7 linked regions of the Macaca mulatta genome follow. The protein of the gene in region 7 interacts with the protein of the main gene of each other region in a pairwise test. Links are inferred from orthologs where the notes say so. Each region holds a gene or a part of one and is shown on either strand. Other genes may lie near its edges. The genes, in order: NAA10, BANP, TRAPPC6A, PLOD3, PPL, RUFY1 and RAB3IP.

Region 1 (3,175 bases), on a different chromosome or scaffold from region 7:
TCGGCTTTTGGTGAAGATCCAGGAAGTGGGATTGGGGTGAAGGAGGGACCAAGAGGAGGGGCAGGCACTGGACGTGCTACCCCTCCCTGGCCATGTCCGTGCAGCTCAGCAGTGCCTTGTTCCCCTGCAGTAACCGGGCCGCCCTGCACCTCTATTCCAACACCCTCAACTTTCAGTAAGTAGATCTCGAGTTTTCTCGTGGGCTGGGGTTGGCCCCAGGTCTGGCCCATCAGGGCACCTGAGACCGGCTGAGTTGCCTTCCAGGCTAGGGGTGGGCCGGATGTGGGGAGGACGCTGTGGACCCCAGTGCTGCCAGGATGCCTCCACATTCACTCGGTGGCTGATGGTTGAAAAGCCGGCATGGAGACAGCACCTGCCTGCTGAAACGTGCTCCGTGTGTGTTGTGATGGAGGAGCTCTGGCCCATGCTGGCAGAGGCTGGTGAAGGGCACACGGGCTGTTTAGTAATGTTTGGGAATAAAGAGGTGTGGGTCCCTGGCGTGAGCAGATCATAGCATGGCCAAGCACCTGGAAGAATCCAAGAGAGAGCAGAATCAAGGAGAATGCACGTTCAGGAAGGAAGGACCGGCGGCCAGGCAACCTAGTGGATGGGGCAGGTCTGCCTGAGGACCGGGAGGCCCCGTGTGCCTAGCACAGGAGAGAGGACCTGGCAGTTAGCATGCCCAGTAGACAGTGGAAAAAAGTGCTTGCAAGTGAAGCTGGGGTGGGCTGCCCGTGGAGGGACACTAACTGCAGTCAGCCCCTGTTTGGCAGGGGTGAAGAGGAGGGACTGTTGGGAAGGGCAGTGGCCTCTGGGCTGGATGCTGGCAAGAGGGATCTGTGACCCAGATGAGGATGTCTGGTGGGAACTGCTTTATAGCTAAGTCAACAATCCTCATGTCTTAGGCCTGGCAGGGCCAGCCTAGGCCATTGAGTCCAGCTCCCCTTCCAGGGACATGGCCACCCGAGTCTGCACACATGCCTCCCCAGTGCAGGCATGGCCCCTGAGCTGCTCAGGCAGGGCCCGTGCTGCCTAGGGATGACTCCCCTAAACAGAGCTCACTGTCTTTCCTGGGTTCTGATGGCTGTTGTGAGGCAGCTCAGTAAGGGACAGGACGCAGGGCAGGGAGGGAAGGGGAAGGCTGAATTCAGGAATTCAGCTCACAAGAAACCACAGAAATGAATCCTTAGTAGCCAGGCTAAGGACACAGAACGGGGGCAGGACAGGGGTGGGGCGGGCCGCTGTTTCCTGGAGCCTTTGCTGGAGAGAACAGAGGGCAGGTCACACTGGACTTGCTGTCTCAGGAAGGAGCCCTTCAGGGAGAAAACACGGCATCTTGCTCCAGTAGCCATGATACTAGGAGTGGAGGAGGGTGTCCCCCAGGTATGGGTCTTCCTCCTTGCTCTCTACCCTCTGCCCCCAGGATCAGTGAAGTGGAGCCCAAATACTATGCAGATGGGGAGGACGCCTATGCCATGAAGCGAGACCTCACTCAGATGGCCGACGAGGTAAGAGCCTGCATGAAGCCAAGCCAGGCAAGCGGGGGTGGCATTGGGGAGCCCCGAGACAGTGGCTGGAGGTGCGACCAACTTTGAATGCCAGCCCTTGTGGCTATGTTGCCAGGAGTCACAACCTCAGTTTCCTAGGTTGGGCTTTAGAGGAGGCCGTCTGCCTAGCAGCCTGGAGGGTGATGGGAGAGGCAGAGGGAGGAGGCTTTTAGAAGGGAAGTGGGGAGGCCTGGGGACCAGTGGGTGGCCTGCCTGCTCAGAGGTAGTTCTGAGTCAGGGTTCTGCCCCAGGCTCCTTGGGTGGCAGGGCTGGTCAAGGGGCAACGCTGTGTCGTGGGGGCCTCCATGGTAGTCAGTGAGCCCAGGTAGCAGTGGACTGGGGCTCCAGCCAGGTGTCCCCACTCAGTCCCACGTGTCCTGCCTAGCCCTGCTGCCTCACTATGCCCCTCTCCTCAGCCAGCGACAGGGCCAGGCTCCCTTTGTCTGGAAACTTAGGCCCCATCTCTTTACCTCCTGCTTCTCCCTGGGTTCCTGGTGGCAGCTGAGGCGGCACCTGGAGCTGAAGGAGAAGGGCAGGCATGTGGTGCTGGGTGCCATCGAGAACAAGGTGGAGAGCAAAGGCAATTCACCTCCGAGCTCAGGAGAGGCCTGTCGCGAGGAGAAGGGCCTGGCTGCCGAGGATAGTGGTGGGGACAGCAAGGACCTCAGCGAGGTCAGCGAGACCACAGAGAGCACAGATGTCAAGGACAGCTCAGAGGCCTCCGACTCGGCCTCCTAGAGCCTGCCCCATCCCTTCCTCACCCCACGAGCTTTCACAATAAATTCGCTCCGTGGCACTGGGGAACTTCGTGTGTGTGCGTGTGCACATTTAGAGGGTGTGTTTCTCCAGGTCCTCTGGTGGGGAGGTGAGCCTCAGCCTTTTGACCCAGAGCATCCTGCCAGTCCGAATAGAAGGGAAGAGCTTTGGAGGTGGGACTCCCCAGTCTCATGGCCTTCAGCAGCTGTGGCCCCGGGAAGGAGGCCCTGGGCTTAGGGAGAGACCCTGCCTTGGAGGTCTGCTTGGCCACGCTGAATGTGTTTTGTGGCATAAGCCTGGGCCGCTTAGGCTCAAAGCTCAACAGCAGGGCTCCCACTCTTGGTAGCCTTCAGTTCTCCTCCCATCTTCACCTTCAGACCTTTTCTCTCCCTAATCACACCTGCTTTGGGCTACAGCAGCTCTGCGGCATAGCCGTGGGCTCCAGATGTGGACATCTGACTGCTCATTGGGCTTATCTACAGCTGTCCTGAGTATAATGACCCAGCCAGACGCCCTGTCAACGGTCCTTGAGTCCTCCCTTCCCTGCCACCCTAATGGTCAGTGAGTCCATGATACCTCTTGAGTCTACTCCCTGAGTTTGCATTTGAAAATAATTTATTTTTAGTACAATTCCCCCCGTTTGCCCTATTGACATTTTGTATTAGTTGGTGTATTTGTTATTGTTGATGAGCTAATACTGATAAGTTATTGTAAACTATAGCCCATGGTTTACATTAGGTTTCCTGTCTGTGTTGTACAGTTTCTATGGGGTTACACAAATACATAAAGCCATTTATTCCCTCAAAATAATTTCATGCAGAATACAAAACTGGGTGGCTGTTGGGTGCGGTGGCTCATGCCTGTAATCACAG
Region 2 (4,666 bases), on a different chromosome or scaffold from region 7:
TGTTGAAAAAGGACAGGTCCCATCTTCAGATCGACACCTGTCCCAGTGCTGCCATTCTGTCAAGGCTCCTCCTTGGAGTGTTTGTAAGTCATTTTTACTGCGAAGTAACCCAGCCACCGGCCTCAGGGGAACCTCCGAGCCTAATTCTAGAGGAGACTAACTCGGTAAGGTTGCCCAAGGTCGCATAGCCCATGACTGCACCGAATCCTGTTATTATTATTGGCAAAAGGGAGCTGGGCAGGAAATTCAAGGTAAAGCATTTTGTTTTTCCCAGTGAAAATAGTTCTCTTGCCCTGTGCTTGGGAGATCAAAGGCATTCTTGCTCATTGCAAATAATTCAGAAAACAGGAGTATAAAGAGGAAAATGAAAGGCAAGGTAATTCTAGATAAGCAGAGGGAGATAACCAGAAATGACATTTCTGGGAATTGCCCTATAGTTTGGGAATTTTTTCCTATGATTACCCACAAATGCACATTTATTCTACATAAACGATAACGTGCGCACATTCACGCCATCACTTTTTTATTTTTTTAGAGACAGAGTCTCGCTCCGTCGCCAGACTGGAGTGCAGGGGCGCGATCTCGGCTCACGGCAACCTCCGACTCCCGGGCTCAAGCGATTCTCCTGCCTCAGCCTCCCGAGTAGTTGGGATTACAAGGTGCGCGCCACCAGGCCAGGCATAATTTTTGTACTTTTAGTAGAGAGGGGGGTTTCGCCATGTTGGCCACGCTGGTCTCGAACCTCCACCTCAGGTGATCCGCCCACCTCGGCCTCCCAGAGGGCTGGGATTACTGGCGTGAGCCACTGTGCCCGGCCGCCATCACTTATTTATATTATGTGTTAGCTGTAGGACATATCTAAGACCATGGTCACTGCTGTGCGTGCTAACTCCCGCGCGCGTGCACTCAGGCCCCTCCGGACAGACGCTGGGGACCCCTGACCACTTATGTCTGGGAAAACGCCACCAAGCGCTCCGGAACCTCAGGGCAGGATCCGCCGCAGCAGCAGGCAGGACCCGCTGGGGGCGCACAGCCCACCTGAGACATTGTAACTACAAGTCCCAGCAACCCTTGGTGCGGGGACAAGACGGACGACCGGAGTCCGGAGACACTACAAGTCCCGGCAGGCATGGCCCAGACGAAGGGACTACGAGTCCCCGAATGCATGGCTCCCCGCTTGCGCAGGGCACCCTGGGAGGTGTAGTCGTTGAGGGAGCTAATGCCTATTCATTCCGTCTCAAAGAAGATGCAAATTCCTCACACCGTCCACTGAGGTGATTTTTCTCAGGCAGGCCACGTGCGTGGGCGAAAAACGGGGGGAAAAAACCCTGGGAAGCCGGTACCATCGCGGAAGAAGGCCGCCTGCGCATGCTCACCAGGAGGCCGAGCGGGAAAAGCGCGCGCAGCTGGCCTCGCTGCCCGCAAGGGGCCTCGCCCCAGCCCCGCCCCCGGCCCCGCGCGCCCGGTGAGCCTGCGCAGAGGGCGGGGGCAGAGCGTCGCGGGGAGGGGCTCGCGGCGCCTGCGCAGAGCGGCGGCTTCTCTCGCGAGGACGGACGCCATTATCGCATCTCCCCGACAAACACCACGAGAATTCCGCAGCCCACACGGTAATTGCAGCTCCCGCAGCCGGTCGCGCCTCCGCCTCCCCCTTCCCGCGGGGCGAGAGCGAGAGCGAGATCTCCCTCCTCCCTCCTCCTCCCGCCCGCCGGGCCGCCCGCGCCGCAGCCCCGCCGCCTCCAACCGCCCGGGCCGGGCGAGCGCCCCCCAGGCCCCGCTCCCCGTCCCCGGCCGCGCCCCGGAAGAGGGGCTCCCGCTTCCTCGCTTCCGCACCCCCGGCCCCGCCGCGCCCCGGCGTCCGTTGAGCCGCGGCTGCCGCAGCCCGGCCCGGGGGCCTCGCGCTCCCGACCTCTGCCCCGGGCCTAGCCCCGCGGGAAGGACCCGGGGCCACGGCGGGGAGACTGGAAGGGCCTAGAACCGCGCCCAGGCTCCTCTGGGGACCGAGTCTCCCAAGGGGTCGCTCCTGCTAGCCAGCCGGGAGCGACAGGCACCGTTTTTGTGCCTCCTCCGTGGCTGTGGACTGGAGCCCCATAGCCCGGGACTCGCACATGCAAGTCTCTGGCGAGGCAGCGGAAGGGACGATCCCGGGGCGACCGCCGACCCCGGCGAGGACCCCAGCCCGTCCCCCTAGGGGCCCCGATGAACGAGGACTTCGGGGTGCCCCCTCCCCAGCACGTTTGTGCGATTTCTGTGATCTAGTCCTTAAGAAAGGTGGCCGTTTTTTTTTTTTTCCCCCTAGGATGCAGAAAGTAGATGACATTCCATCCACACTGTGTGAGCAAATTGGAGAGAGTACCTTGATAGAGGACTGATGTTTTTCACTGATGAGATGGTAGGGGTTGCCTTGCTATTGGAGAAATACATCATCCCTGAAGAACTGTGAGCAAGTGGAGCGAGTGTGGGCTTTGAAGGGTAGCGAGCTTGCACCCTGACCGGGGAGGGCGCGGGTCACGCAGTTGTTGATGTGGAACAGATAATTGCCCTGTTTGGAGTTGCCTGTTCTGCCCAGGAACGTACTCCAGGGCCTGATGGCGATGGCAGAACTATAGTAAATAATAAGAGGAGGCAGTCGTAGGGGCCACTTTTAGCTGGAAGTTCTTGGGGGACAGAAAAATAACTTGGAGTAGTGAGTGGTTCTGAGTAAGCTCAGGAAACAGCAAAGAAAAACTGGATCTGGTCATTTAACACGCAGCTCGCAAATAAATATCCTGTGCTAGAAGAAAACACCAAAACGCGGTAAAATTCTGTGTGTAGGTCCACTTCCCGTGTCTGGCAATTAAAATAAGAATATATTCTTGCGATGTTGGATTCTGTCATCATTGGCTTTAGTATTTTTATTTTTTGGAGATAGGGTTTCACTCTGTCCCCGGGGCTGGAATGCAGTGTGGTGATCTTGGCTCACTGCAGCCTCGGCCTCCCTGGCTCAAGTGATCCTCCCACCGCAGCCTCCCGAGTAGCTGGGACCACAGGCACCACCACCCCTGGCTAATTTTTGTATTTTTGTATTTTAGAGGGGGTTTCGCTTGTTGCCCAGGCTGGGGCTTTAATCTTTTTAAAAAAGAGCATCCATTTGTGATCCACGCTGCTTGGGGGCAGCTCAACATCTCGGGTGCTTCACCATGACCCGGGAGGCAGAGGCTGCCCCCACTTTATAGATGAGGTGGCCAGGCCCGCAGACACTAAGGGACTTGCTCAGATGTACAGAGCCAGGGTTCAAATTCAGTCTATTTGAAGCCTATATATTTAGTATTTTAATTAATATAATGTGTACAATAGGAACATCAGTGAAAGACTTACAATGAAAAGCAGTGGTCCCCTGCCCCACCTCTCAGCCCCATTCTTCAAAGAGGTTTACATCTTGAGTGGTTTCTTTAGGTCATTCTTTATAGCTCTAAGTAAGCTGATCTTTTTCATTTTTTTCTTGAGATAGGATCCCCAGATGTTGGCCAGGCCGTACTTGAACTCCTGAGCTCAAGTGATCCTCAGCTTCCTTAGTAGCCGTTAATACAAGTGTGAGTGACTGCACCTAGTTCTAAGCTGCTACTTGGTTTTACACAGCCTTGACTTTCTGTTACGATGGGGTGATGGAGCCCTTCTGTCATATCCCACCTCTTCTATCCCCTGGACTGTGTGTGTCAGGCCTATGTAAATACTGTTCTCTTCACAAATTGAGTGTTTCCCTTCCTGTACAGCATGTTTTTTTTCTGTTAGTCATGGCTTTTCTCTTGGCACTTTCTGTTCCCATCGACTCCTTGCATTGTTTTAAATGATCTCAAGGATAGTGTCAGGTCCCCTTCCTCCTTCAGCCCCTAACCTTTTTCTCATCTGGATGGGTTATTCTTTAGCCTGCAGACGAGCCCACCTGATACTTCTTGCGGCTGGGTGCGTTCAGAAATGTTTTCATCTCGGCTTTGTTCATTTCCACAGGACGCTCTGGCAGGTGCTCTTCCTCTGTGGAGACCCTTCTCCCTCCCTGAACGCTCTTGGATCCTCTCTTTGGTGTTAATGACATTTTACCGTGTGCTGAGGTGTGTGGATTCCTACTCCGGGGACTCTTTGACTCTGGTGCCTTGTCCTTCAGCTCTGGGGAGTTGCCTTGTTCTGTCTGAGAAGTTCTTCCTCTCCAGCTCTGCTCTTCTGTCTTAGGAGTTCCTGTTTGTGATGGACGTTCTAGATGGACCCCTGGAGTTGCATCTTTATCCTTCCTTCTGTGTCTTGTTTATTCTCATTTCTGGGAGAGGGCTTTCATATGTCTTCACAATCAAATTTTTAATTTCCAAGCATGTATTTGTCTTGTTCCTTTTTCACAGTAGCTTATTGTTTTACAAATGCCTCATCTCCATGACTCTAGGGAAACTAATAAGGATTCTTTCCAGTTCCTCTTTGTTCTGATTTCTTGTTTCCACTAATGTCACTTAAAAAAGAGTGTTGGCTTTTTGCTCTGTATGGCAAGTCCTCCTCAAATACTGATATTTACTGTTGTCTGAGGCAGGAGGAGGCTGGCGGAGAGCCCCGGGTCTGTGGGGTGCTTTTGAAAGAGTCCAGTTTTCCCTCGGGTGATTGGGAGCCTGTACTGTGGGACCTGGAGCGCCAACTTGCAGATACTTTC
Region 3 (4,763 bases), on a different chromosome or scaffold from region 7:
CAGCCAGCCTGGGCAATAGAGCGAGACTCTGTCTCAAAAATAAATAAAAAAATAAAAATAAAAATAAAAAAATAAAAATTTTAGAGGTGGGGTCTTGCTATGTTGCCCAGGCTAGTCTTGAACACTGGGCCTCAAGTGATCCTCCCACCTCTGCCTCCTGAGTACCTGGGATTACAGGTGCAAGTGCCACAGCTGGCTAAATGCATTTTTGATTTATGATTTTTTCTGTTATGTTTTTTTTTTTGAGACAGGGTCTCACTCTGTCGCCCAGGCTGGAGTGCAGTGGCCGGATCTCCGCTCACTGCAAGCTCCGTCTCGCAGGTTTACACCATTCTCCTGCCTCAGCCTCCCAAGTAGCTGAGACTACAGGCGCCCACCACCTCGCCTGGCTAGTTTTTTGTATTTTTTCAGTAGAGACGGGGTTTCACCGTGTTAGCCAGGATGGTCTCGATTTCCTGACCTCGTGATCCGCCCGTCTCGGCCTCCCAAAGTGCTGGGATTACAGGCTTGAGTCACCGCGCCAGGTTGATTTATGTTTTCAACTTATGACAGGTTTATATCTGTATGTCGAGATGGTAACAAGCAACATCCTCCCTGGGGCTTCTTATCCTAGAAGGAAACCAGAGCCAATAAAAATGTCTTACATGGCCGGGCACAGTGGCTCATGCCTGTAATCCTAGCACTTTGGGAGGCCCAGACGGGCGGACCACGAGGTCAGGAGATCGAGACCATCCTGGCTAACACAGTGAAACCCTGTCTCTACTAAAAAAAAAAAAAAAAAAATTAGCCAGGGGTGGTGGTGGGTGCCTGCAGTCCCAGCTACTCGGGAGGCTGAGGCAGGAGAATGGTGTGAACCCGGGAAGCGGAGCTTGCAGTGAGCTGAGATCCGGCCACTGCACTCCAGCCTGGGCGACAGAGCGAGATTCCGTCTCAAAAAAAAAAAAAAAAAAAAAAATTAGCTACGCATGAGCCTTTGAGGCGGACGATGCAGGGAGCCAACACTGCGACACTACACTCCAGCATGGGTGACAGAGTGAGATCCCCCATCTCAAAAACAAAACAAGGACGGGCACGGTGGCTCATGCCTGTAATCCCAGCATTCTGGGAGGCCAAGGCAGGCAGATCGCCTGAGGTCAGGAGTTCAAGACCAGCTTGACCAACATGGAGAAATCCCATCTCTACTAAACACACAAAATTGGCTGGGCGTGGTGGCACATGCCTGTAATCCCAGCTACTCTGGAGGCAGAGGCAGGAGAATCGCTTGAACCCAGGAGGCGGAGGCTGTGGTGAGCCAAGATTGTGCCATTGCACTCCAGCCTGGGCAACAAGAGCGAAACTCCGTCTCAAAAACAAAAACAAAGACAAAAGGCCATGTGCCCTAGCTCATGCCTATAATCCCAGCACTTTGGGAGGCCAAGGCACATGCATCACCTGGGGTCGGGTGTTCTGAGACCAGCCTGGCCAATGTGGCAAAACCCCATTTCTACTAAAAATACAAAAATTAGCCAGTAGTGGTGGTGCCAGCTGCGCTTGTGGTCCCAGCTACCTGGGAGGCTGAGAAGTGGGATGATTGCTTGAACCTAGGAGGTCGAGGTAGCAGTGAGCCATGATTGCATCACTGCACTCCAGGCAGCCTGGACGACCGATCAGGACCCTGTCATGCATGCACACACACACACTCCCAGGCCAGTCGTGGTAGTTCACGCTTGTAATCCCAGCACTTTGGGAGGCCCAGGCGGAAGAATCACTTGAGTCTAGGGGTTCAAGACCAGCCTGGGCAACATGGCAAAACCCCATCTCTCTTTTTTTTTTTTTTCCTGAGACGAGTCTCGCTCTGTTGCCCAGGCTGGAGTGCAATGGCACAATCTTGGCTCACTGCAACCTCCGCCTCCCAGATTCAAGCCATTCTCCTGTCTCAGACTCCAGAGTAGCTGGGATTACAGGTACCCGCCATCATGCTCGGCTAATTTTTGTAGAGACAGGGTTTCACCATGTTGGCCAGGCTGGTCTTGAACTCCTGACCTCAGGTGATCCAACCGCCTCGGCCTCCCAAAGTGCTGGGATTACAGGCGTGAGCCACAGCACCCAGCCGGCATATTTCAGTTTGTTATTTGACTCCCCAGTGAAATGTAAGCCTCACGAGGACGGGGATTCTGTCTTAGAACAGTGCCTGGAATACAACAGACACTCAATAAGTGGGTGTGGAATGAATAAATGTCCCATGCTGAGGCTCAGGTACGTTATGATGCTCATTTTACAAAAGAGAAAATTAGGACACACAAAGATTAAGTCATTGGGTCGCACACCTTGTGAATGCCGAGTACTCAGCACACGCCCAATAACAGCATTATTTTATATATATATATATATATTTTTTTTTTTTTTTTTTTTTTTTTGAGACGGAGTCTCGCGCTGTCACCCAGGCTGGAGTGCAGTGGCCGGATCTCAGCTCACTCCAAGCTCCGCCTCCCGGGTTCACGCCATTCTCCTGCCTCAGCCTCCCGAGTAGCTGGGACTACAGGCGCCCGCCACCTCGCCCGGCTAGTTTTTTGTATTTTTTAGTAGAGACGGGGTTTCACCGTGTTAACCAGGATGGTCTCGATCTCCCGACCTCGTGATCCGCCCGTCTCGGCCTCCCAAAGTGCTGGGATTACAGGCTTGAGTCACCGCGCCCGGCCAATAACAGCATTATTATGATTACTTGCCGCTTACTCAGGCCGTGAGCTAAGTGCTTTACCCTGAGTCATCTCGCTCAATTTAGCAATAACCCCAAGCCGGCACCTTCGCGAACCCCACTTTCCAGAGGAGGAAGCCAGCGCCAGATGTTGCCCTGCAAGGCCGGGGCTGGGTCGGGGTTCGAACCCGGACGTCTGACAGCCCCTCCGCTCTCCCCGAGGCGTTACCGTGGTGGCCCCCACTTCCTCCCCACGGGACCCGGCGCTCACCCCCGGACCGGGGTCGGGGTCGTGAGCCCACAGCTCCGCCACCATCTCCGTGTGAAGAAACTCGAACAGCACAGTGTCCGCCATGAGCCCTCCTCGCGCGCCTAAAGATGCGCCCAGCGCTTCCCGCTCTCATTGGCCAGGCTTGGTAAGCCACGCCTCTCAAGTCACGGCGCGAGCCCTCCTACTCCCGCTTCCGCTGGTGTTTTAGACTAGCCCCGCCTCCCCACCTCCGGCTCAGGTGGTGTGCGCGTGAGCCTGGGATACTAGGGGGCGGGCCTACTCCTCCTCTGGCCGCACGTGACAACATCTTCTGCCCTTGCTGCCGTCCCTTCCCTATTTCCGGGTTCTTGAGCATTCCTATTGGCCAAATTACTGGTTACACGTGACATACTCGGCTTTTAAAATCCCTATTTGTCCATTCCAGACTTTCCTCGTCGCACAACCTGGAAAAGCCGGCCCAGCCGCTTCTCTATTGGCGGTTCCTCCATTCATGTGATCTTCTGCACACTCCCTCAAAGCTGATGTTGAGAACTTGCATCGTGATTGGTAGTCGAGCGAATCCACGTGACTTGGCCGCTAATGCCCGCCCAACCCGCTCCCCTATTGGTCGAGATCGCAGCCCTTCAGCTGCCACGGTGAGGACTCGGCACTCGGGCAAGGAAGAGGATCCCGCAGGCTCGGAGCGTTAGCTACCGGGTACGGTCTTTGGCGATAGCGCTTCCCCCATCCCATGAGTGCCCCCAGCGGAGTCCAATCGGACTGTCATCCTTTCTGCGACTCTGGCACTGGTCCCGAGCAGCTCAAGGGCCCGAGTGCTTCCGGGTCTGAGATTGGCATGGTGGACCAAGTGGAGGGTGTGGCCGCTACTAGGAGGCAAATTCGTAAAGAGTTCGGCTTGGGACTCCGGGAACTCGGGCCCCAGATCCCTAATGGAGCTGGTCTTCAGTTTCCCCATCTGTACGCTGAAGGGCCTGGGGTCCAGTAACCCTCATCATCACCCAGTTTACAGAAGAGGAAACTGAGGCCCAGGCAGGGGGAGCAACTGACCCCAAGTCGTTAAGAGAATCAGCGAAGGGGCTGGGAATCCAGGACCTGCGCCTTTTACCCACCGCGGCGCCCGTCTCACGTGCAGTCCCTTCGCTTTTCTGCCCTAGCTCGGCGCCATGGCGTCCCAGGGTCGTCGGCGGAGGCCCCTGCGGAGGCCGGAGACGGTGGTGCCTGGGGAGGCGACCGAGACGGATTCCGAGCCCTCTGTGTCCTCGTCGGAGGAAGAGGAGCTGTACCTGGGTCCCTCGGGCCCGACGCGCGGCCGCCCCACGGGGCTGAGGGTGGCTGGGGAGGCCGCAGAGACCGACTCGGACCCGGAGCCGGAGCCGGAGCCAACGGCCGCGCCGAGGGACCTGCCTCCGCTCGTGGTGCAGCGGGAATTGGCGGAGGAGACCTGGGGCGCGGAAGAGGCCCCGGCGCCCGCCCCTGCGCGCTCGCTCCTGCAGCTTCGGCTGGCGGAGAGCCAGGCGCGGCTGGACCACGACGTGGCGGCCGCGGTGAGCGGTGTTTACCGCCGTGCGGGCCGCGACGTGGCCGCCCTGGCTGGTAGGCTGGCGGCAGCCCAGGCGGCGGGGCTGGCGGCGGCCCACAGCGTGCGCCTGGCGCGCGGGGACCTTTGTGCTTTGGCTGAGCGTCTGGACATCGTGGCTGGCTGCCGCTTGCTGCCGGACATCCGCGGCGTGCCGGGGACCGAGCCTGAGCAAGACCCGGGGCCGCGGGCCTAGCCATGATTCTACTTCCCTACCCGACTGCAATTTGGGGTTAGGCCTT
Region 4 (4,019 bases), on a different chromosome or scaffold from region 7:
TAATCCTAGCACTTTGGGAGGCCAAGGCAGGCGGATCACTTGAGGTCAGGAGTTCAAGACCAGCCTGGCCAACATGGTGAAACCCCATCTCTACAAAAAATACAAAAATTAGCTGGGCATGGTGGTGGGCACCTGCAATCCCAGCTATTTGGGAGGCTAAGGTGGGAGAATTGCTTGAATCTGGGAGGCAGAGGTTGCAGTGAGCCAAGATCACACCACGGCACTGCAGCCTGGGTGACAGAGCAAGACTCCGTCTCAAAAGCCAAAAACAAGAAACAAAAAAGTGCCACAGCTTGGGGTAGGGACTGACTGCGTTTTGGGAGATGGGGCGGTTGTGACAAGCAGTGCTTGACAAGGGACATGCAGGAGCCTTATGTTCAGGGACTGCGATACTCTAAGGGAAGAAGGACTTCCCGGGATGAGCTGGGCAGAATTTGGGGGGCCGCCCTCCCAGCTGACCACGGTTGTCGGTGCCTCCAGGGGCGTGTGGAACGTGCCATACATCTCGCAGGCCTATGTGATCCGGGGGGATACGCTGCGGACGGAGCTGCCCCAGAGGGACGTGTTCTCAGGCAGTGACACGGACCCGGACATGGCCTTCTGTAAGAGCTTTCGAGACAAGGTGAGCGCGGGTGCGTGGTGTGGCCTGGGGGCAGCATCCCGGACTGTGGGCATGGCCTGCATCATGGACACCCCCACCCCACTACAGGGCATCTTCCTCCATCTGAGCAATCAGCATGAATTTGGCCGGCTCCTGGCCACTTCCCGATACGACACGGAGCACCTGCACCCCGACCTCTGGCAGATCTTCGACAACCCCGTCGTGAGTAGGACCCCCCGCGCCCAGAGCACACAGGTTCCCCGCCCTGTGCTAAGGAAGACGCCAAACGTGATGGCTGCTGCCAGCGCAGGATGCTGAGCGGGAGGGGGCGGTCCCCTGAGGGCTGGGAGTGAGGGGGCCACAGATCTGCTGTACCCCCCACCCTCCCGCAGGACTGGAAGGAGCAGTACATCCACGAGAACTACAGCCGGGCCCTCGAAGGGGAGGGAATCGTGGAGCAGGTGAGCCCGTGCAGCCCCCACCGCCCTCATGGCCATCACCTCTTGGGGGCCCCCACCTGGATTCAAAGTTTTCACACTGAGTTCCCCAGGGGCCTGAGGGTTTTCTGTTCAGGCAAGATGAAGGCAAAGGCCGAGCAGATAGGACTCTTGATCCCAAACCTGGCATTGATCAGATGGCCTCTCCTCTCCTGTGTATTGGGTATATTGGTGTTACGAATGAAATCACATCGTTTTTTTTTTTTTCTTTTGTTTTGTTTTTTGAGACAGTCTCGCTCTGTTGCCAGGCTGGAGTGCAATGGCATGATCTCGGCTCACTGCAACCTCCGCCTCCCAGGTTCAAGCGACTCTCCAGCCTCAGCCTCCCAAGTAGCTGAGATTACAGGCGCATGCCACTATGCCCAGCTAATTTTTGTATTTTAGTGGAGATGGGGTTTCACCATGTTGGTCAGGCTGGTCTCAAACTCCTGACCTCAGGTGATCCGCCCACCTCAGCCTCCTAAAGTGCTGGGATTACAGGCGTGAGCCACCGCGCCTGGCTGAAATCACATCTTTAAAGAAGAATGGGGCCGGGCACGGTGGCTCATGCCTGTAATCCCAGCACTTTGGGAGGCCGAGGTGGGTAGATGGGTTGAGGCCAAGAGTCCAAGACCAGCCTGGGCAACATAGCGAGAATCTGTCTGTACAAAAAAAAATTTTTTTAATAAAAAATTAGGCCAGGAGTGGTGCTTATGCCTGTAATCCCAGTACTTCAAGAGGCCGAGGCAGGCGGATCACTTGAGGTCAGGAGTTTGAGACCAGCCTGGGGAACATAGCAAAACCCTGTCTCTACTAAAAAAAAACAAAAAAAACCAAAAATTAGCCAGATGTGATGGCGCGCACCTGTAGTCCCAGCTACTCTGGAGGCTGAGGTGGGAGAATCGCTTGAACCTGGGAGGCGGAGGTTGCAGTGAGCCAAGATCATGCCACTGCACTCCATCCTGGGTGACGCAGCGAGACCCTGTCTCAAAAAAAAAAGAAAAGAAAAAATTAGCTTGGCATGGTGACATGTGCCTGTAGTTCCAGCTACTTGGGAGGCTGAGGCAGGAGGATCGCTTGAGCTCAGAAGGTCGAGGCTGCAGTGAGCTATGATTGTGCCACTGCACTCCAGCCTGGGTGACAGAGCAATACCCTATCTCAAAAAAAAAAAAGGGATGCACTGTTATGGAAGTTTGGAAACCCCTGTCCCAGCACAAGGGGCTCCAGGACCCTCTGCCACCTCTGCTGTGCCAGATACCGGCTCTCAGCCTTGCCACTCCCCCAGGCCCTACCTGGCAGGTCCCCAGCTGCTCTCACAGAGCCTTCCCTGCTCCTCCCTGCCCCTTCCCATTCTGCCCACTGCCTGTCCCCTTCCCCGTTCTGTGGCATCAGCTAGCCCTGTTCTCCCCCGCCCCGTCCTCAGCCATGCCCGGACGTGTACTGGTTCCCACTGCTGTCAGAACAAATGTGTGATGAGCTGGTGGCGGAGATGGAGCACTACGGCCAGTGGTCAGGCGGCCGGCATGAGGTAAGGGCCTGGGTGAGGAAGGCAGAGGGCTCCTGGGAGGAGGAGGTGCGGGATCTGGTAAAGGAACAATGGAATCAGGAAAATGGGAGCAAAGAGGGGGAACTCCCTTTTTCTCTACTAAAACCCCAAGGGGGAGACAGACCCTGGGGTCACAACTGCATTCATTCATGTATTTAAGAAATATTTACTGCTGGGCGCAGTGGCTCATGCCTGTAATCTTAGCACTTTGGGAGGCCAAGGCAGGAGGATTGCTGGAGCCAGGGAGTTTGAGGCCAGCCTGGGCAACATAGCAAGACCCTGTCTCTACAATAAATTTAAAAATTAGCTGGGTTTGGGCCAGGCATGGTGGCTCACGCCTGTAACCCCAGCACTTTGGGAGGCCGAGGCAGGTGGATCTCCTGAAGTCGGAAGTTCGAGACCAGCCTCATCAACATGGAGAAACCCCATCTCTACTAAAAACACAAAATTAGCCAGGCATGGTGGCATGTGCCTGTGGTCCCAGCTATTCAGGAGGCTGAGGCAGAAGGATCACTTGAGCCCCAGAGTTAGAGGCTGCAGTGAGCTATGATCATGCCGCAACACTCCAGCCTGGGTGACAGAGCAAGACTCTGTCTCTAAAAAAAGAAAAAAGGAAAGTTTCTGGGTCACTGTCCTAGCTTGCACTGCAGGAATGCCTTTTGCCGGCCGAGCTCTGCCCTGCTGTGAGCAGCAGCCGCCACACAGCTTCTAAGGCTGCGATGAGCAGCCTGGGTACTGTGGAAGCCACGGGGAAGCCTTGACCCAGACTTGGGAGGACTAGGGGGCTTCACAGGACAGGTGACATCTTAGCTGAGACTTGAAGGGCCGGGAGCAGTGAGTCAGGCTGAGAAGTAGCAAAGAAGACTGCTCCACACAGAGGAGCACAGGTGTAAAGGCTGGGGCACAGGAGGAAGGAGGCTGGACTGCCCCTTGGGGGGGGGCACCGTGGCTGGAGGGGCGGGTGGCTCAGTGCCCACCGCCCCCAGGATTCAAGGCTGGCTGGAGGCTACGAGAATGTGCCCACTGTGGACATCCACATGAAGCAGGTGGGGTACGAGGACCAATGGCTGCAGCTGCTGCGGACGTATGTGGGCCCCATGACCGAGAGCCTGTTTCCCGGCTACCACACCAAGGTGCGCTGCCCATCTGCCCGCTGCCTCCCCACCTTCCCCACCCCAGTCCCAGGCTGGAAGTCTCCACAGAGACCCCTTTTGGCCCCCGCAGCATTTGGGCTCCATGCACTTTAGTTCCCAGGGAAATGAGATGCTACAGGAGGCAGCCCAGGGGAGGGAGGGAGCCAGGCTGAGACCTGGGGCAAGGCTTGGCCCTAATCTAATGCCAGTGAGCAGTGAGACTCTCCCATGCAGGAATCCTGCCGCCCCTCCCCTCCCTGGGC
Region 5 (4,736 bases), on a different chromosome or scaffold from region 7:
GGTCATCGCCAAGGTCTGATTTATCAATTCAAAAAATTGCAACCTCAGGCATAAATGGGTTAAGCCCACCCATAGAAGTCCCATTAACAATAAGGTTGGCTGGGCGCAGTGGCTCATATCTGTAGTCCCAGGACTTCTGGAGGCTGTAGGCGGGCAGATCACTTGAGCTCAGGAGTTCAAGACCAGCCTGGGCAACATGGTGAAACTCCAGCTCTACAAAAATTTTTAAAAATTAGCCAGGTGTGGTGGCATGTGCCTGTAGTCCCAGCTCCTCAGGAGGCTGCGGCAGGAGGATCGCTTGAGCCCAGGAGGTTGAGCTGCAGTGAGCCAAGATGGCAGCACTGCATTTCTGCCTGGGTGACAGAGACCCTGTCTCAAAAATAAATAATAATAATATTTTCCTAGTTTCCTGTAATATTTGGAAACCACAGTCCTTCCGTGGCAGGGACAGAGATGGCCTGGAAGACATTGGATGCCCTTAGACACTCTGGGGCTGTGGGCAGGAAAAGCCCTTGGAAATGAATTCCCCATCAGCCTCCTACTTTTTATTTTGTTTTATTTTATTTTATTTACTTTGAGACAGGGTCTTACTTTGTTGCCCAGGCCAGAGTGCAGTAGCGCGATCTCGGCTCACTGCAATTTTCACCTCCCAGGTTCAAGTGATTCTCTTGCCTCAGCCTCCCAAGCAGCTGGGATTACAGTACCATGCCCCTGTAATTTTTGTATTTTTAGTAGAGACGGGGTTTCACTATGTTGACCAGGCTGGTTTCGAACTCCTGACCTCAAATGATCCACCCACTTCGGCCTCCCAAAGTGCTGGGATTATAGCTGTGAGCCACTGTGCCTGGCCCAGCCTCCTTGTTTTTAAATACAAAACAACTGGGGAAGAGACTGGTCTGAAGACTCAGAAAGCTGAATTTGAACCCAGGACTCCAGACCCCCTGTTGGAGGCCCCTCCCCGCAGACCTGAACACTCCTCATCTGAGCTCTAATAGCCTTTTGGCCATAACATAGTATCTTGATCGCTGCCTTCTGGGGTCTCCCCTGGGCTCCTCCTTCCCAGCTGGGCTCAGCCCCTCACCACCCTCCACAGAGGCGCTGAACCCTCCCTGCTTGTGAGGCCCTATCCGGGCTTCAGGTCAGATTGGGTTTCTGTCTAAGAGCAGCCTTCTCCACTGGCACACAGTCTAAGCCAGGACATGCTGGCAGAATTGTGCAACGTTGTTCTGAGCCGGAATCGAGCAGCTTTTATGACCAGTTATGAAGCACTCTTCTCGTGCCAGGGCCTGGAGTAATTGAAGTTTCAAAGTAGTTTTTGTCCACCCGAGATGGCAGGCAGAGAGCAGATTCGGGCCAGGGCACTGCGCTCAGCGCCTGCGTGCATTACCTGCAGGGACATCCCCACAGGCCTTTCGGACCGGGTGGTGGTGATCACTGTTTGACAAAGAAGTTAACTGTGGCTGGGAGCAGCAAAACGCCTTGCCCAGGAGTGTCAGCCGACCTGAGGGTGGCAGGGTTTGAACTCAGGCCGGCGCCCTCCGCAGTCCAGCCCCCTTCCCTCACTTGCCACCATCTGAGTGCAATTCGCTAGCTACTGGGGCACAGGAACCCGTGCGGGTCGCTGCCGCACCTGTCTTGCGGGGCCCAGCTGGGTGTCCGCCAAAGCACCAGGAGCGCCGAGTTCCGCGGCAGCGCAGAACCAGGTGAAGGCCTCGGCCAGAGGCGCGCCGGGCCCGGGGAGGGTGGGGCTGCGAGCGCTCGCCCCGGCGGCCTTTGCGCCCCAGCGCCGGCCCGGCCTCCGGAGTCCCCCGGCTGGGGGTGGGCGGTGTCCGGCCAAGACCCGGTGTCCCCACCCCCGCGCCCAAGCCCCGCCCGCGCGGTGGCCCCTCCTCGGGAAGGTAAGCACCACCTTCTCGGGGAGCGGCCCGCAGAGCCAGTGGCCGTCGGGCGCCCCGCCCCCCGCGAGTAGGGACCCGGCGCCGCTGCCCCGCAGCACTAGGAGCTCCGCGCGCCGCCGCTCGCTCACCTGCGCTCCCTCCCGCCCCTCGGTGCGCGCCCGGCCCGCCAGCCGCCACCGCCCGCACCCCGAGCGCCACCATGAACTCGCTCTTCAGGAAGAGAAACAAAGGCAAATACAGCCCCACTGTGCAGACCCGGAGGTGAGGAGGCGCCCGCAGCTCCGTTCCGGGACGCTCTTGCGCCTGTGGGCGCACAGGACCGGGAAGACCGCCCGGGCAGTGTAGGAATGGGGGTCACGGGGGCCCAGGAACAGGGGACTGAACCGGGAGTGCGAGACTCACGGGAACGTGGGACCGAGGCCACCCTGAAGCTGGGAAGCACCGCCGGGTGGGAGGGGACTGGCTGGGGCACCCGAGGGGGAGCATAATTGCGGACTTCGGGGACTCCGGGAGCCCAGGGAGCATTGTCTTGAGGGCCTAGGGCATGGGCAGCTGAGCTGGGGGTACAGGGCACCCCCGTGTCCCAGGGTCGCTCTTGAGCAGAGGGTCGCCCAGGACCGGGAATAGACACCTGGATGCGGGGGCGGAGTTTTTGGAGGACCGGGCACTTAAGGCGGGGTCGCCGTGGGCGACCCAGGAAGCTCCGTCCAGGGGGCGCCCTGAGGCAGGGAAATTGAGCCGGCGTCGGAGGGGTGCTCTCCAGTGCCTCTGAGACCTCGCAAGTGTTCCTGGCGTCCGAGAGGCGAGGGGGTGGGGGTCCGAAGGGGGTGGCCCACCCCTCGCTGCACTTCCCGGCATCTGCCACCCTGCGCTCCAGAGCCGCGCTCAGAGGCCCTGGGGGGTGCGGGGTCGGGTCGAGGGGCACACGGGCAGGCACCCCCTTTACCTCCCCACCCTCTGGGTTCTCAGCGGAGGTTGGGTGGCGTCCGGGCCTCCTCTTCGAAGCTCGGTTTCTCAGGGGTGTGGCTCCCTGCCCCCACCCCAGCCCCGAAACTGGCGGTGTCTCTGAGCCGCGGGTTCCCAGGGCGGCCTGGGAGGGGAATGGCATGTCTTGATGTGTTTGCAGTGAGAAGCAGCCCACGTCCGTTTTGATAAGCCTAATGTGTTCACTTAATAACCTGTTTGGGGGAGCCTGGTGGAGATGCTGAGATTGATGGAGGGGGTGGGAATCCAGCCCCTGCTTTATGCCCCCACTTCTGAAAATAGAATGGAGGCTCTGGGTTAGCAAGGACCATTTTGCCAGCTTCTTGGACAAGAGGCTTCAGGCAGGTGAGGGGCCCGCAAATTGCATGGCTCTCCTGGCTGGGAGTTCTGCCCCCAAGCTGCTCTCACTGGGAGCCTGCAATGTGCCCTCCAGCAGCTCCTCACTCCCTCCCTAGGCCCCAGAGGAAGGCAAGGAGAGGCTTCTGGGCCCAGGGCTCCCACCCAACCTCTGCAGTCCGGCCTAGGCCGACCAGTCCGACAGGTGCAGGCGGTGGGGCCCTGGCATGCTGGAGTGCAACACTCCATTCCCTGGCCTTCCAGCCCTTTCAGAAGCCCCCCTGCCCTGTGATCCCACCCACCCATATCTCCATTTGGGCCCTTTCAAGCTCAGAGGCATTTCCCCCCTTCAGAGATTTCCCCACCCCTCCCCTATCTTTCACAACCCCAGAGACTGGGCAGGGCCTGCCTGCCGCTCCTCCGTGGCCGCGTCCAGCTGGCACTCGGACCCAGCCGGGGGCCCGTCCAGTCCCTGCACTGTTCCCTAGGGCATTGCACAATTGGATGCTCTGTGCCAGCCGTGGAGAACCGTTCTGTCCTCTCCACCCCAGAGACTAGGCCCATCCAGTCCTTCACACATGCAGACACCCACACACCAGGAGTGGGGCCAGGCCTCGCCCCGCCCTCTGCCTCCCCCTGCCCTCTGCCTCCCCCCAGCCTCCCTCCTTTCTGCAGCTTTCCATCCCTGAAGGCCTCAGCTTGGACCTAACAAAAGGTTGTAATGAACCCAGACAAGCTGGGAGGGGTGCGGGCTTTCCTGAAAGTGTGAGGATGAAAGGCATCCCATCCTTTATAGCTGCAGGGACTCAGAGGGTCTGGGGTGGCAAAGATTTGGGGTCCCGCCACTCTCTGTATCCCTGACCCAAAGCAGCCACCGTCTGTCCTAGACTGACAGCCATTGGTCCCAGGTCTCCACTTAGATGTGTCTTTCTCCAGGAAGCCCTCCTGATTCTGTCCCTCAGCATGGGGTGAAAGACCATTCCTTTGAGCCTTGCCACCCCAGCACAGAATGAGCACAGCCACAGCTCTGAGCAGGTGTCAGATGCCTCCCCGGGTGGTCTCCAAGCCCAGTGCATCCCTCTGCCCCCTCCCCTTAGTGGGGACTAGTTCTTAGACTAGATTGTGGGGTGGGGGTAGTCCTGTACCCAGTTCTCTCAAATGCATCTCTCGAGCATTGCCTGATGCCCAGCTAACCCCATAGCACGTGTCTTGGTTGGGGGTGGAAGGGACAGACTTGTGGCTCTAGGCTGTGGTCGCTGGTCACAGGAAGTGGATCTCCAAGTTATTCCTTCACCCCGAGTTTTCCAGGGCCCGCTCCATTGTTTGGGGGAGGACAAGGTTGCTGGTGAGATTCAGCGTGGTGGGGCAGGTAGGAGCTCCAGCACTGCGAGCAGAATGTCTCACTGTTGATCCTGGCATCTCCACCCTGGAGCCTCTGGAAGTGGGCACAGAACGGGTGGTGATACTGAGTGTCTCATGCATAGGGCTGCTGGGAGGAGCAGGGCACAGCACACAGGA
Region 6 (4,019 bases), on a different chromosome or scaffold from region 7:
TGCTCTGTCGCCCAGGCTGGGGTGCAGTGGCCGGATCTCAGCTCACTGCAAGCTCCGCCTCCCGGGTTTACGCCATTCTCCTACCTCAGCCTCCCAAGTAGCTGGGACTACAGGCGCCCGCCACCTCGCCCGGCTAGTTTTTTTGCATTTTTTAGTAGAGACGGGGTTTCACCGTGTTAGCGAGGATGGTCTCAATCTCCTGACCTTGTGATCCGCCCGTCTCGGCCTCCCAAAGTGCTGGGATTACAGGCTTGAGCCACCGCGCCCGGCAAGATTTTCAAGATGACGGATACTCAGCAAAATAAGTAGGTTGAGAACTGCATGTAAAACGTTAAATTTTTTTGTAAAAAGGGAGAGAATATATTTGGTACTAGTTTTCATGTGTAGAGACATGTTTTGGAAATGAACTTAAAGGACACTATATTAATGTATAGGGAAGGCGGGTGGGGAGGTGGAGGACAAGGAGACAAGTATATGCCTTTTAATACTTTCTAGGTTTCTTTTTTTTTTTTTTTTTTTTTTTTTTTTTGAGACAGAGTCTCACTCTATCTGCCAGGCTGGAGTGCAGTGGTGCAGTCTCGGCCCACTGCAGCCTTTACCTCCCGGGTTCAAGTGATTCTCGTGCCTCAGCTTCCTGAGTAGCTGGGATTACAGGCATGAGCCACCACCCCCAGCTATGTTTTGCATTTTTTGTTGAGATGGACTTTTACCATATTGGCCAGGCTAGTCTCAAACTCTTGACCTCTGGTGATCCACCTCCCTCGGCCTCCCAAAGTGCTGGGATTACAGGCGTGAGCCACCGCGCCTGGCCTACAATATATTTTTTAAATGGCCAAGTCGTATTCTGTTGTATATATAATTTTGTTTAACCCCCCTTGTGGCTGTCTTCAAATTCTTGTTACCACAAACCGTGATAATGATGTGGTGACCGCCCCGAAACATACATCTTTGTGTCCATCTTCAGTTATTTCTCTAGGATGTATTACTAAATGTAAAATTTTGGTAACCTGTTGTCATCAAATTGCCACTAGAAAGTTGTACAGTTGACCAGGCACAGTGACTCACGCCTGTAATCCCAACACTTTGAGAGGCTGAGGCGGGAAGAATGCTTGAGCCCAGGAGTTTGAAACCAGCCTGGACAACATGGCAAAACCCCATCTCTACAAAAAAAAAAAAAAAAAAAAAAAAAACCATTAGTTGGGTGTAGTAGCACGTGTCTCAGCTACTCCAGAGGCTTGACACAGGATTATCACTTGAGCCTGGGAGTTCCAGGCTGCAGGGAGCCATGATCATGCCATTGCTCAGCAACATGGACGACTGAGCAAGACCCTATCTCCAAAAAGAAAAAGGAAGTTGTAAAGTTTACAGTCTCACCAAGCAGCACTTGAGAAGCCTTTATTCTTTTAATGTTTAATGCAGGCCTGTTCTTTCTTTCTTTTCTTTTTTTTTCCTCTTCTTTCTTTTCTGCTTCTCTGGAGATAATGCTAGAATACAGAAAAATTACACCTTCAAGACTGGGGCTGGGCACAGTGCCTCATGCCTGTAATCCCAGCACTTTGGGAGGCCAAGGTGGGCGGATCACTTGAGGTCAGGCGTTCGAGACTAGCCTGGCCAACATGGTAGATGGTAGAAACCCCATCTCTACTAAAAATACAAGAATTAGCTGGGCGTGGTGGCAGGTGCCTGTAATCCTAGCTACTCGGGAGGCTAAGGCAGGAGAATTGCTTGATCCCTTGAGGTAGAGGATGCAATGAGCTGAGATCACAATGGTGAGCCAGGATTGTGCCACTGCACTCCAACCTGGGTGACAGAGTGAGACTCCATCTCGGAAAAAAAAAAAAAAAAATTGGTTCCACAACATTGTGAATGTACTTCACACTACTTAACTGTAAGATTAAAAATGGTTAAGATGGTAAATTTTATGTTCTGTGTATTTTACCACAATAATAAAACATAAAATTGTACCTTTAAGGCCAGGTGCAGTGGCTCATGCCTGTAATCCCAGCACTTTGGGAGGCCAAGGCAGTCTGATCACTTAAGGCCAGGAATTTGAGACCAGCCTGGCTAACATGACAAAGCCCTGTCTCTACTGAAAACACAAAAATTAGCCAGGCGTGGTGACACGTGCCTTAATCCCAGCTGCTCGGGAGGCTGAGCCACGAGAATTGCTTGAACCCAAGAGGTGGAGGTTGCAGTGAGCTGAGATTGCACCACTGCACTCCAGCCTGGGCGACAGAGCAAGACTATCTCAGAAAAAAAAAAAATTGTACCTTTGAGCTAACCCCTTGGAGATTTTACAAGCTTTAGCACTTTAGCAAGCACTAAGTTCTCTATTAGTCTTTTGAAAGAATGTTTATCTATTACACAAATCTAACCTGATATTTTCCTGTGATATTTTATGACTATAAGCAAAGCATTATCTAACTGTATTTGTAATAGTACTCAAAGGTGTGTGGTGAGCCATTTTCGATGCCTGCCCAGGCCACGTGCCTCCCTCCCCAACCCCAAACAGCCATTTGTAGAGTGTCCTCTGCATTTATAAGAGTGTGTTTCCTGTGTATCTCCCTAGGTAATTCAGGTTTCTTTTCTGTGTTTGTTGTTGTGATGTCACAATAGTTTGATGCTCTGTTTGAATTCTAGGACAGCTGTGGGAAGAGGCCGAGCTTGGCTTTATCTTGCACTCATGCAAAAGAAACTGGCAGATTATCTGAAAGTGCTTATAGACAATAAACATCTCTTAAGGTATTTCATCAACTAGGTTTGCTTATCTTTTGCTTGGTAAATAATTAGAACATAGGCCGGGTGTGGTGGCTCATGCCTGTAATCCCAGCACTTTGGGAGGCCAAGGCAGGTGGATTGCTTGAGTTCCGGAGTTTAAGACCACCATGGCCAACATGGTGAAATCCCGTCTCTACTAAAAATACAAAAATTAGCCAGACATGGTGGCAGGTGCCTGTAACCCCAGCTACTCAGAAGGCTGAGGCAGGAGAATCGCTTGAACCCAGGAGGCGGAGGTTGCAGACAGCCAACATTGCGCCACTGCACTCCAGCCTGGACGACAGAGGAAGATTCCATCTAAAAATAAATAATAATAGGCCGAGCGCAGTGGATCACGCCTGTAAACCCAGCACTTTGGGAAGCCGAGGTGGGCAGATCACAAGGTCAGGAGTTCAAGACCAGCCTGGCCAACATGGTGAAACTGTGTCTCTACTAAAAATACAAAAATTAGCTGGGCGTAGTGATGCATGCCTATAATCCCAGCTACTCAGGAGGCTGAGGCAGGAGAATCACGTGAACCTGGGAGGCAGAATTTGCAGTGAGCCAAGATTGCGCCATTGCACTCCAGCCTGGGTGACAGAGTGAGATTCCTCCTCAAAAAAATAATAATTAGAACATAGTTCTGTAGATCATTTTGAATTAAAATAAGTGTATCAGCCAAGCGTGGTGGCTCATGCCTGTAATCCCAGCACTTTGGGAGGCCAAGGCAGGCTGATCACTTGAGGTCAGAAGTTCAGAAACAACCTGGATAACATGGTAAAACCCCATCTCTGCTAAAAATCCGAAATTAGCTGGGCATGGTGGCATATGCCTATAATCCCAGCTACTCGGGAGGCTGAGGCAGGAGGATTGCTTGAACCCAGGAAGCAGAGGTTGCAGTGAGCCAATCACACCACTGTACCTCCAGCCTGGGCAACAGAGCGAGACTCTGTCTCAAAATAAAAAAATAAAATAAGTATACAATATTTATGGAAATTTACGACTGGTTCATTTTTGATATTTATAACTAAGCAAACATCATTATAAAAGGAATTTTCTCTAGACTATGGTGATTTATGAGGGAGGACTCTTTCCAGAGTTAAAGCTCTCTTGTAATTGAGAAACGTATTTTACAGCATAGCCTATAAAACCCAAGCTTTTCAGTGTTTTCAAGGCATGGCTCATTATTGAACTTAGCTTTACACGACAAATACTGATTTACAGTATTTCACGTACTCTGAGTACAGTTACACTGAGTAAGT
Region 7 (4,019 bases):
TGTTGTACATGATAAATACAATGTTCTCTGTTAAAAAATTGTTTTAAGAGTTTCACAGCATAGTATAATTGTTATTGAATCTAAGATTGCATAATACTGTTAGATTTTGTTTTTAGTATTTTCATATTTAATGACAATTAAATTTTAATATAAATTTATTTTATATTAAAGAGATTTTATTTTATAAATAAATATATATAATAAATAAATTTTCTATAAATAAATATATATAAAATATGTTTTATATATTTTATAAAATATATATAATATATATTTTACATATAAAGAGAATTTATTTTAATATAAACATTTAATAATTTTAAAATATTTTTAAAAATTAAGTCAATTTTTATTCATTCCTCATACTAATTGATTATTCTCACTTTAACAGAATTGCTTATCACTTTCAGGTTTCTTCTAAATCAGATTGTTTGCCTTTTATAGTAGTTATACTCTGAGATCGCTTAGTAAATGTTAAGTGATTGTGGTGGTTTGTTTTTGTTTTTGTTTTTGTTTTTTGAGTGGACACAAGGTCTTGCCCTGTTACCTAGGCTGGAGTGTAGGGTTGTGATCACGGCTCACTGCAGCCTCCATTTGGGCTCAAGTAATCCTCCCACCTCATCTCCCAGAGCAGCTGGTACTACAGGCATATACCACCATGTAATAGTGGTTTTTTTAAAAGGCTCTTTTATTGTAAGCTTGTAATTTACAACGGACTGTTAAACACATTTTATAATTTATACATTTTAATTTAGTTTTAAATGTTATTTAAAAATAAGTATCTGATTTTTGTTTTAACATAGGTTATCTTATGATGAGGCTTTTGCTATGGCTAATGATCCCCTGGAAGGCTTCCATGAAGTAAACCTTGCTTCACCTACTTCTCCGGACCTTCTTGGTGTGTATGAATCGGGAACTCAAGAGCAGATTACCTCACCAAGTGTCATCTACCGGCCACACCCTTCAGCTTTATCCTCTGTACCTATCCAGGCAAATGCATTAGATGTTTCTGAACTTCCTACACAACCTGTGTATTCATCCCCCAGACGTTTAAATTGTGCGGAAATATCTAGTATCAGGTAGGAAATAAGTAAATCACTTATTTTGGATTATTTTTTTTAAATGGAAAGTTTGCTTAGTTACTGTATTTTAAGTTTTACTATTTTTAGAAAATTTGAATAACTTAAGTGTGCCTATGTAAAGAAATACATGATAATGTTCTAGAACAGGGTTGACAAACTTTTTATGTGAAGGACCAGATAGTATTTTAGGCTTTGCTAGCCATACAGTCTCTGTTGCAGCTATTCAACACTGCTTTTAGAGTTTGAAAGCAGCCATAGGCAGTATGTAAATGAATTAGAGTGGCTGTGTTCCAATAGAACTTCATATATGGATGCAGAATTTTGAATTTCACTTAATTTTCATTTGTCGCAAAATACTCTTAAAGATTTCTTTTCAACTATCTGAAATTGTAAAAACTGTACTTGGCTCATTGATGCCTTATAAAAACAGGTGGAAGGCTTCGTTTAGCCTGCAGGCTATAATTTGTTAACCCCTGCTCTTGAGTAGCACCGTCCTGTAGAACTTTCTCTGTTGATGAAAATGTTCTATTTTTTGTGCTATCTAATATGAATGATAGATATTAACCACATGTAGCTACTGAGCACTTGAAATGTGGCTATGACTGAGGACATACTATTTATTTAAATATGGAAGCTACCAAATTGGGTAGCACAGTTCTAGAGCTGTGTTTTAAGCCAGTTCTATTGGAGCATATGCTGATATTTTCTGAAAATTGTCTTTCTCCTTTACAGCTTTCATGTTACAGACCCAGCACCTTGTTCTACCTCTGGAGTCACAGCTGGATTAACTAAATTAACTACAAGAAAGGACAACTATAATGCAGAGAGAGAGTTTTTACAGGGTGCTACTATAACAGAGGCTTGCGATGGCAGTGATGATATTTTTGGGTTGAGTACTGATAGTCTGTCTCGTTTACGAAGCCCATCTGTTTTGGAAGTTAGAGAAAAGGGCTATGAACGATTAAAAGAAGAACTCGCAAAAGCTCAGAGGGTAAGAAAGAAGATATTTTATTCTTCCATATATTAGAAATTAGTATATCTCCATGGGGTGGGGCAACCTACAGAAATGAATTCATGACAGTTGTACATTTATCCTTCACATATGCCCAGCCTCAGCTCCTGTTAGGCAGCATTTAGGAATCCGTGAAATTGGTTGGGTAGTAAAGAAGTTCATTTAAGACTACTAACTGGAAAAATGTGGTTCTGTTAACTCTTCTGTGCCCCACTGCATTGCCTGCTCCCTGTCTTGTATTATCTGTAATGCAGATTGATTGGGCCATATTCCACATGCAGGGTTTTCCCTCCTTATTACATGGCTGACTAGATGGTTATTTACTTGAAGTCATTCAGTCTAAGTCATTTTGTTTTGAGGAGTTTAAGCTGAGTTTGAATATTTTCTGTATCTTACCTTGGATAATTTTCTTTTCTTGGTAAATTGTTGTGTTTCCCATTTGGTCATCTTTAAAGTTTCTGCTATTTATTTCCAAACTTATGGCCATATCTTATTCTTTTTCTGAGTCTGCAGTTAAATTTCAGAGGGAAATTTATAGAATGAAATGCATACATTAGAAAACAGGAAAAGTCTCAAATGGACAATCTAAGCTCCCGCTTTAAGAACCTATAAAAAGAAGAGCAAAGTAAAACCAGAGCAAGTAGAAGGAAGGAAATAATAAAGAGCAAAAATCAATGAAATTGATAACAGAAAAGATAGAGAAAATGAATGAGACAAAATGTTGGTTCTTCAAGAAGATTAATAAAATTGCAAACCTCTAGCAAGACTCACAAAAAGAAGACAGATTATCAGTAGCAGGAGTGAAATGTAGGATGTCGCTGGAGACTGAGATCAAAAGTATAATGGAATAATATGAAAAACTGCATATATAAACCTGACAAACTAGGTGAAATACCAATTCACATTTAGAAAATTGAGAAGGTAGGGCAAACATTTATAGGTGTAATTTCCAGCCTACTGTGACATTTCACAAACATATATTCCCACCCTTTCCCTAGCATACTTGTCTCTCATGAGCATAGTATATTCATTTTTTTAATCCCCAGTTCCTTCCCAAAGGAAAAGGATGTGGTGAGATGTGGTTGCATTTTGTTTCTGTCATCTGACTCAGACTTTGTTGTCTTAATAGACAGTATGTTAGTAAAATCACACATTATATAGAGGTAAAATTTTGAATGTATATATATCCATCTTTGAGAACATGTGGTTATTGATCAGAATAGATTGCTAATCTCTTAGCTCACTTGAGAATTTCTTTTGAAATCTCTAATTTGCTATGTTTAGAGATACTGTTGAGATAATTGAAATGTTGGTGTGTGAACACATATGTGGTGACTTTTATGAAGAGTGTAAGATAGTATTAATATTTACTTAGATCTCAAGGCTTGAAAAGGACTCTTGAATATAAAAATACTTCCTGAATTGTGACAACTTGTGAATCAAAACTATGTCAACAGCCATTTTCTTTAGTCCTATTATCTTGAGAGGCCATTTTCTATACTTTTCACTTACTTGGTTAACTATTTGTGTCTTCCTATTTAATACCCATTTCCTATAGATAGTGTATAGTTAGGTCTTGTTCTTTTGATCCTGTGTAATTATCTCTGTCTTTTAATTGGTGTTTAGACTATTTACATTTAATGGATAATGATATAGTTTGGTTTAAATTTAGCATCTTACTGTTTGTTTTCCATTTGTCTCATTTGTTCCTTTTTCCTTTTTGAATCCTTTCTTTTGAATTAATTCTATACTTTTAAAACAATTTCATCTTCCTGTGGCTTTTATCTTTGTTGTGTTAATTTAGTGATTGCTTTAGGGTTTATAGTAGACATATTTAACTTATCACTTGTCTACCTTCCGGCGATACATTACTTTATATCTGGTGTACAGACCTCACAAAACTATACTTTTATTTCTCCCCCCCG

Evidence for each region.
Region 1: the proteins of RAB3IP (region 7) and NAA10 interact in binary tests that used the Homo sapiens proteins (3 or more experiments, as listed by UniProt). The two-hybrid records come from large-scale screens. The link is inferred for Macaca mulatta from reciprocal best matches to the Homo sapiens genes RAB3IP and NAA10.
Region 2: the proteins of RAB3IP (region 7) and BANP interact in binary tests that used the Homo sapiens proteins (3 or more experiments, as listed by UniProt). The two-hybrid records come from large-scale screens. The link is inferred for Macaca mulatta from reciprocal best matches to the Homo sapiens genes RAB3IP and BANP.
Region 3: the proteins of RAB3IP (region 7) and TRAPPC6A interact in binary tests that used the Homo sapiens proteins (3 or more experiments, as listed by UniProt). The two-hybrid records come from large-scale screens. The link is inferred for Macaca mulatta from reciprocal best matches to the Homo sapiens genes RAB3IP and TRAPPC6A.
Region 4: the proteins of RAB3IP (region 7) and PLOD3 interact in binary tests that used the Homo sapiens proteins (3 or more experiments, as listed by UniProt). The link is inferred for Macaca mulatta from reciprocal best matches to the Homo sapiens genes RAB3IP and PLOD3.
Region 5: the proteins of RAB3IP (region 7) and PPL interact in binary tests that used the Homo sapiens proteins (3 or more experiments, as listed by UniProt). The two-hybrid records come from large-scale screens. The link is inferred for Macaca mulatta from reciprocal best matches to the Homo sapiens genes RAB3IP and PPL.
Region 6: the proteins of RAB3IP (region 7) and RUFY1 interact in binary tests that used the Homo sapiens proteins (3 or more experiments, as listed by UniProt). The two-hybrid records come from large-scale screens. The link is inferred for Macaca mulatta from reciprocal best matches to the Homo sapiens genes RAB3IP and RUFY1.

The regions. Positions count from the first base shown.
Region 1 is NC_133426.1:160,175,317-160,178,491, reverse strand, and holds the end of NAA10 (N-alpha-acetyltransferase 10), read left to right. Parts: intron 1-130; coding exon 131-175; intron 176-1,423; coding exon 1,424-1,508; intron 1,509-2,048; coding exon 2,049-2,285; 3' UTR 2,286-2,351; downstream 2,352-3,175. UniProt on the Homo sapiens protein: Catalytic subunit of N-terminal acetyltransferase complexes which display alpha (N-terminal) acetyltransferase activity. Acetylates amino termini that are devoid of initiator methionine.
Region 2 is NC_133425.1:83,340,320-83,344,985, forward strand, and holds the start of BANP (protein BANP), read left to right. Parts: upstream 1-1,525; 5' UTR 1,526-1,607; intron 1,608-2,296; 5' UTR 2,297-2,310; coding exon of another isoform or gene 2,311-2,331; 5' UTR 2,332-2,368; coding exon 2,369-2,389; exon of another isoform or gene 2,390-2,468; intron 2,469-3,487; exon of another isoform or gene 3,488-3,569; intron 3,570-4,666. UniProt on the Homo sapiens protein: Controls V(D)J recombination during T-cell development by repressing T-cell receptor (TCR) beta enhancer function. Binds to scaffold/matrix attachment region beta (S/MARbeta), an ATC-rich DNA sequence located upstream of the TCR beta enhancer.
Region 3 is NC_133424.1:57,690,602-57,695,364, forward strand, and holds the start of TRAPPC6A (trafficking protein particle complex subunit 6A), read right to left. Parts: upstream 3,049-4,763; 5' UTR 3,030-3,048; coding exon 2,946-3,029; coding exon of another isoform or gene 2,904-2,945; intron 1-2,903. UniProt on the Homo sapiens protein: May play a role in vesicular transport during the biogenesis of melanosomes.
Region 4 is NC_133408.1:48,473,396-48,477,414, reverse strand, and holds part of PLOD3 (multifunctional procollagen lysine hydroxylase and glycosyltransferase LH3), read left to right. Parts: intron 1-480; coding exon 481-622; intron 623-709; coding exon 710-823; exon of another isoform or gene 824-868; intron 869-965; exon of another isoform or gene 966-993; coding exon 994-1,062; exon of another isoform or gene 1,063-1,093; intron 1,094-2,345; exon of another isoform or gene 2,346-2,500; coding exon 2,501-2,605; exon of another isoform or gene 2,606-2,662; intron 2,663-3,500; exon of another isoform or gene 3,501-3,609; coding exon 3,610-3,756; exon of another isoform or gene 3,757-3,846; intron 3,847-4,019. UniProt on the Homo sapiens protein: Multifunctional enzyme that catalyzes a series of essential post-translational modifications on Lys residues in procollagen. Plays a redundant role in catalyzing the formation of hydroxylysine residues in -Xaa-Lys-Gly- sequences in collagens.
Region 5 is NC_133425.1:6,203,730-6,208,465, reverse strand, and holds the start of PPL (periplakin), read left to right. Parts: upstream 1-1,713; 5' UTR 1,714-2,097; coding exon 2,098-2,159; intron 2,160-4,736. UniProt on the Homo sapiens protein: Component of the cornified envelope of keratinocytes. May link the cornified envelope to desmosomes and intermediate filaments. May act as a localization signal in PKB/AKT-mediated signaling.
Region 6 is NC_133411.1:188,517,255-188,521,273, forward strand, and holds part of RUFY1 (RUN and FYVE domain-containing protein 1), read left to right. Parts: intron 1-2,640; coding exon 2,641-2,742; intron 2,743-4,019. UniProt on the Homo sapiens protein: Activating adapter involved in cargo sorting from early/recycling endosomes. Regulates retrieval of proteins from endosomes to the trans-Golgi network through interaction with the dynein-dynactin complex.
Region 7 is NC_133416.1:76,885,552-76,889,570, forward strand, and holds part of RAB3IP (rab-3A-interacting protein), read left to right. Parts: intron 1-803; coding exon 804-1,079; intron 1,080-1,814; coding exon 1,815-2,073; intron 2,074-4,019. UniProt on the Homo sapiens protein: Guanine nucleotide exchange factor (GEF) which may activate RAB8A and RAB8B. Promotes the exchange of GDP to GTP, converting inactive GDP-bound Rab proteins into their active GTP-bound form.